2 separate regions of the Mus musculus genome follow, and region 1 is reported to be linked to region 2. Evidence: microRNA targets listed by miRTarBase, many of them from high-throughput screens and not tested one by one. Region 2 holds a microRNA gene; the other region holds the end of a gene's coding sequence.
The links. The annotated mature microRNA mmu-miR-5106 reads AGGUCUGUAGCUCAGUUGGCAGA and lies in region 2 at 1,446-1,468, shown strand. An mRNA with a match to its seed (bases 2 to 7 or 8) in the 3' UTR can be bound and repressed. Matches are read on the target gene's strand: a 7mer-m8 pairs with bases 2 to 8, a 7mer-A1 pairs with bases 2 to 7 and ends in A, and an 8mer does both.

Region 1: miRTarBase lists Hmmr as a target of mmu-miR-5106. Seed matches in the 3' UTR shown: 7mer-A1 at 2,885-2,891.

Annotation. Positions count from the first base shown.
Region 1 is chr11:40,699,746-40,703,153 of GRCm38, forward strand. It overlaps Hmmr (hyaluronan mediated motility receptor (RHAMM)), which reads right to left. Exons shown (of 18, transcript NM_013552.2): 18 at 1,643-3,113. The coding sequence ends at 3,094. Among named protein-coding and RNA genes, the nearest start is that of Mat2b, 8.8 kb to the left of the region's middle.
Region 2 is chr4:44,219,257-44,222,664 of GRCm38, reverse strand. Mir5106 (microRNA 5106) reads left to right here and starts at 1,398; the gene lies at 1,398-1,470. The region is part of intron 1 of Rnf38 (ring finger protein 38); the gene reads left to right.

The sequences.
Region 1 (3,408 bases), not on the chromosome of region 2:
GGAAGTTCATCCTAGCTGACAACAAAGCCTCTTGCAGTTTACATCAGGTGTGGTTTTCTCTCGAGTCATTGGGGTGCCGGCCAGCTCATCCCGGGACTTGAGCGGAGGCCCAGCTTCGGGGGTCTTACAGCATAAACCCACATATGCTTAGGATATTGGATACGATTTGCTCATGAGTCAAAGATAGGAGTCTTACTTAACCTAGTAAGGTCTACTAAGCCTAATAGTTTTATTGTCATGTGTGTCGAGTGTGCAATAGGAAGTGGCTCTCTATCCCTAGCCACTCGTTCCTCTGACATAGGATCTCTTCCTGAACCTGAAGCTTGCTGTCTTTGTGGCTAGGCTGTGAGTCCTAGTGATTCTATTACAGGTCTCAGACCTGGGTTTCAGGTGAGCACCAGATGCCTGGCTTGTTGACTGGGTGGATCCTAAGACTCAAACTCTGGTCCTCCTGATTGTGCTGTAAGCACTCAATCATTGAAGCGAATCTTCAGTTCCACAGATGCTACCTGGTAAGATAGTCATTACAAAACCAGTAGTCCACAAAAGAGCTGACTATCCTGTTTTTCCTGTGTATAGTTACTATGACTAAAGGCTATATGTTTCTACAAAATACTAAAAGAAGAATGACTAACATAAATTTTCAATGTAAAAATAAATATGTAGTCAGAAGTGGCAATTTCTTTCTTTGGAGACCATTTATTTTGTCATGTGATGTTTTTCTGGAAACATCGTATGAGAGGATGTTTTTGCTAAAGCAGACACGTGGGAGGGATGTTTTGCTGAAGCAGTCTGTTGTTTTTCTGGAAGCTGCTTGGAAAAAGGGCATGTGATGTCTTGGTGGAGCAGACACTCGGCAGAACATGTGATGTTGGGATAGGGTATAAGTGTAACCCAACAAACAGACAGTGAACTATGCTAGTTGGTATTGGTTCACCTTGCCACTCTTTGGTGGTCTTGTTTGACAATGCTGTGGCATTGGTTTGGCTTGCCTTCCTTGCTGATCACTGTTGTGACTTCTTTAAAGTATAGAATATAGTTTATTTAGGGGAGGGGTGTTAAGAGTAGTAGAGACAGAGAGAAGATAAGTGGAGACCGGCCATGACCATGTGGACAGAGGGAGGAAGGGAGTGAGGAGAGAGCGAGCACAAGGAGGCAAAAGAGCAAGAGTGTAAGAGCTGTTGTGACTTTGTAGAGAGAAATGCGCCATTTGTATAGATGTTTCAAGTGGATCAAACTACTGCTGCTGATTCTGTGAGCTGAACTGCTGATATCCTGACAAAGCAGATTGGATTCACCAAAGAATTGTTTCTGAACAGGGCCACATCCTCCTTTGACCTTTTATGATGAGTGGAAGGCTAGAAAGGAGTTTAAAGCATTTTAGTACACGTATTAACGTAGGTTTAGAAAAAAGGGCCTACAATAGTCTTGGCTGGCCTGGGACTTGCTATGTAGTCCGATCTTATCCGTCTGCCTCTACCTCCAGAATGCTAGGATAAAAGGTGTGTTACACTACCCCTGGCATATATTGGGAAAGGTATCATTTATTATTCTGGGGGAAAATTAGGAGGAAAGATAGACACAATTAAATCTTAACCAGAAGCAATATTGAAATTCATTAAATAAAAATTAATCACTGATTGGGTGTATGAGTTTTTATATTACTTTATTTTATATTACACACACATTCAGAGGATATGCAGATGATAAATTCTCTAAAAATCATACATGTAAAGTTTTTCAGATTTGCTTGAGAGCCTGGCCATGTGATGCTTGCCTTAAATCCTAGTAATTGGGAGACATAAGCAAGGAGATCTGAGTAAAAGGCCTGCCTAGTCATAGGAGGGAAGTGTTTTCTGAGAGCACAAAGAGGCTGTGTTCCAGAGATAGACAAGGTTCTACCTTAGCTGCAGCTGGACTTGGTTATGTTTAAGAGTCATACTGGTTTTGAAGACATAAAGAGCAGCTGAGGCTTGGCATGTGAGAGGCCATGGAAGGCCACTGGTAAAGGTGCAGCCTCAGTAGCAGTTGATGGCCCAGGACTGAAGGGGTCATGCAAAGGATTTGAGGCTTGGCACCATGAAGAGAGCCTATGAGAGGCTATTGGTGAAGCCTAGTTACAGCAAAGACAACAGTGTTTTGGAGATGCCAGTACCATAAATGACTACCAAGAACAGCAGCAGCAGTGGAGTACAGGCATCTGGAGCCTAGAAGACAAGTTGTGTGCTACAAAGGGCAGAGCTAGAGAAGTGACCCAAGCCCTTGGAGGGTCCCAGACGTTTGAGGTTGTAGTTTGATTTTGCTTTTAATTGTTTGTGACTGTGCCCTGATATTTTTCCCTCTTGAAGGAAGAAAGTATTTTAGTGGAGACCACAGTTAAGAGACTTTTTAATTGTAAAAAGACTTTGAATTTTAAAAGAGATTGGATATTTTAAAGGGATTGAAATTTTAAGAATTTTCAAAGACTGTGGGACTTTTAAAGTTATTTTGATCATGGGGATTAATAAGAAAGTAAGGGTTGAGGCTTAATAGTAATGTGTTTGTGTGTCAACTTGACACCACCTGGAGTTATCACAGAGAAAGGAGCTTCAGGTGAGAAAATGCCTTCATGAGATCCAACTGTAAGGCATTTTTCTCAATTATTGATCAAGGGTGGGAGGGCCCCTTGTGGTTGGTGCTGTCTCTAGGCTGGTAGACTTGGGTTCTGTAAGAAAGCAAGCTGAGCAAGCCAGGGGAAGCAAGCCAGTAAGGAATGTCCCTCCATGGCCTCTGCATCAGCTCCTACTTCCTGACCTGCTTGAGTTCCAGTCCTGACTTCCTTTGGTGATGAACAGCAGTATGGAAGTGTAAGCTGAATAAACCCTTTCCTCCCCAGCTTGTTTCTTGGTCTGATGTTTATGCAGGAACAGAAACCCTGACTAAGACAGAGAACAAATGCTGAATTACCGTTTCATATACCTAAGACTAGGCAGTAGAAATTAAATACATTATATAATATATACTATAAACATAATATCAAGAACAATGAAGAAAATAATCTTCAACAAGTATTTCAGACGTATACTTCCATGATTCTTGAAGTTGCATCTGAACTCAGCAGCAGTTTGGGTTGCCTGAAAAAGAGTATGACAAGGAGCTTTAAGTCTTTTATATTAAAACTACTAACAGATGAGCCAGGCTATCGATGTAGCTCAGGTACAACTTGCCTAGTATGTTCATGGGCCTGGAAATAAATCCTTGAAAATCAAACCAAACCAAATTCCTAAGCCATTATAAACTAAAACTAATCTAGTTTTAGATATGGTACTATAGAAGTACCATAATTATATGTATAATATATCATAGTATAATATACATATATATTACACACATATAGTACAGTACATATATACATATAATATATATTTG
Region 2 (3,408 bases):
TCTTTCTTTCTTTCTTTCTTTCTTTCTTTCTTTCTTTCTTTCTTGCCTATCTGCTTTTCCTTTTTGCTTGTTTGTTTGAGACAAGGTTTCTCTGTGTAGGCCTGGGTGTCCTGTGTGGGGCCGTGGGCGCCAGGGGAATAAAGGGGAGTGGGAGAAAACCCGTGTCCCACCAGAGTTCTGGTGCTCTGGGCGGGTGGACGTGGGAGACTGCCGTACGCTTTCCATGGGGTCCCGGGTGGGTGTCTGGCTGTGGGAAGCCATGGAATCCCAGCTCGGCAGGGGGAGGGGGTGGACAAGGGGCAGTCCTAGGCACCAGGTTTCCAGCCTCCAGCATCCCACGCTGGATACAGCTGCGGAAGAGCTGAGAACAGAATGGAGGCCCCTGGGCGGCACTGAGCCCCGGAGCTGAAGAGAGAAGAGGGCAGGGGGAAAGGGCGCTTGATGGTTCCCACGCTGGCGAGAGTCCCCTGGCTAGAGCACAAGAAGACCTTCCAGCGGGAAGTTAGAAGGGCTCTTTAGGTGAAAGTATCCCATCGTTCAAGCATGGTGGACTTTGATGATCAGAGACAGTCTGTGGTTTTAGAGCTTTATTGTAGAAAAGTGGGGGGAAAGAGAAAAGGTAGAAAGAGAGAGGGACACAGATGTACATGCAGACACACCACTCAAATGCATAAAATAAATCAATCCAAAAAACAAGAGAGAGAAACAGTGAGGGAAGGAGGGAGGGAGGAAGGGAAGGAGGAAGGGAGACAGAGACAGAGACAACATAAAATACACCAAACAATTGTTTGTAGAGGTGAACTCAGTTGGAATGCCTGCCTAACATGTATGAGACCTTAGGTTCTGTTCTCAGCACCCTGTAAACTTAAGAGGAGGAGTTCAAGGTCATCCTTGAATATAGAGTTGAGGGTAGCTCGGGCAACAAGGGGATTCCGCTGCTCAAAACAAAACAAACTTGCTTGGTTAAGCAACCTCAAAACAAACAGCAATAGTGGCCTGGAGTCTTTTTAGTGTGTGGATAAAGGACTGTCCATAATTCATATCGCTGTGTGTTCTGTATAAGTTGATAGCTATGAGCTGGCCCATCTTCCTGGGAGCCAAATTCACAGTTTGACTTTGATTCTTGCTTTTTGCATGATTCTATCCTTGTTTAAGGAAATCTGGACATAAACCTATTTCTGCACAAATACTGCTGGCAGCCTCATTATAAAGAGCATGTCCAGGTCGGGTGGTAGTAGTGCATGCCTTTAACCCAGCACTCTGACTGTTGGAGGCAGTGGAATTTCTGAGTTAAAGGCCAGCCTGGTCTACAGATTGAATTCCAGGACAGCCAGGGCTACACAGAGAAACCTTGTCCAGAAAAACCAAACCAAACCAAGCAAGCAAACAAACAAAAACACTCGAGCAACAACAACAGCAACAACCCGAGAGCCTATCTAGGGCCTAGGTCTGTAGCTCAGTTGGCAGAGTACTTCCTCAATGTGCCTGAGGCTATAGGTTCAATTCCCAGTAAGACTGTCCAAATAATCATGAGTGCACACCAGAAGAGGGCATGGGATCCCACTGCAGATGGTTGTGAGCCACCATGTGGTTGCTGGGACTGAACTCCAGACCTCTGAAAGAGAGTCCAGTGCTCTTAACTGCTTAGCCATCTCTCTACCCCTTTTAAGACTTTAAAATAAGGGTATTACTAATTTGAAAGCTAAATTTATGAGACTAAAAATTACATATTACATTAGGAGAGGCTAGAGAGATGGCATAGTAGTTAAGCACTTCTCTTGCAGAGGACCAGGCTTCAGTTCTAGAGGATCTAGTGTTTTCTTCTCACCTCCACAGGCACCAGGCACCCATGGCCCACATACGTATGTGCAGGTAAAACATTCACACATACATTTTAAAAAATTACACACGTATCTGTGCTTACTAGTTGTTTTTTTTTTTAAATAGAAACTCTGTGTGTGTGTGTGTGTGTGTGTGTGTGTGTGTGTGTATCTGTACACATACCTGTGCTGTAGCATGCAGTGGAAGTCAGAGGACAACTTATGGCAGTTGATTCTCTTTCTACCATGAGAATTTTGGGAATCAGACTCAGATTGCCAGGCTTGCTTGCAGGTTCCTTAATCAATAATCAATTTTACTGGCTCTATTTTTATCAGTTTTTAGTGGAAGATGTAAGTTTTTATTCTCCTCTCCTCTCCTCTCCTCTCCTCTCCTCTCCTCTCCTCTCCTCTCCTCTCCTCTCCTCTCCTCTCCTTTTCTTTCTTTTTCAAGACAGGGTTTCTCTGTGTAGCCCTGGCTGTCTTGGAACCCACTTTGTAGACCAGGTTGGACTGGAACTCACAAAACCTACCTGAGTTCCTCCCAAGTGAGCCATCACTGTCTGACCATAACATTTTCTAGAGTGGTAGTGCATGCTTGTAATTCTAATGTGACTGGTGAAGTAGAAGTAGCAGCTTTAGGCCAGCCTGGGCTACATACACCAGCTCCTAAAACCAAAATAATAGTTCCTCTTTTAATCTAGTGTGTTGATCAGGAGTTGTTTTATTTTAGCTTAAATTGTGTACTATCACCTGGACTGTTTCATTTATAAATATATGTTTCTTCTGGACAAATAGCTCTTGACTATTCCCTGCAGTCTGGTAGCCACTAAAATTAGTGACTGGGTAAACCTGTCTACAGTGTACTAGGCATAGTTAGGATTTGAGAGATGATGCAGACATGCAATAGCACCTCATTGAAGGGGTATGACAATGGGCTAGCATCAGAACAAAGGGATTAGGGAGTCTTTTTTTTTTAAGATTTACTTATTATTATATCTAAATAGACTGTAGCTGTCTTCAGACACACTAGAAGAGGGCATCAGATCTCATTACGGATGGTTGTGACCTACCATGTGGTTGCTGGGATTTGAACTCAGGACCTCTGGAAGAGCAGTCGGTTCTCTTAACTGCTGAGCCATCTCGCCAGCCCCCAGGGATTCTTGGCCCTTAACGAGTACAGAGAACAAAAATGAGACTAGCCGGGTGTGATGGCGCACGCCTTTAATCCCAGCACTTGGGAGGCAGAGGCAGGCGGATGTCTGAGTTCGAGGCCAGCCTGGTCTACAAAGTGAGTTCCAGGACAGCCAGGGCTACACAGAGAAACCCTGTCTCGGAAAAAAAAAAAAAAAAAAGAGACTAATGGTAGTGATATGACTAGCTATCATTCCTGTGGTCCCAACGCCTGAGGGGTGGAGGCAGGTGAAACAGGCTATCATTATATGTGGACTCTTAGGCCATTCTGAACTACAGGAGTCCCTGGTTAAAAAACAAACAAAAATGGGTACAATATGATGACCCTGATAATTAATCCTTTAAAGCACAGACTCAAGCCACCAGAGATGGTTCAGTGGTTAAAGAACTTCCCACA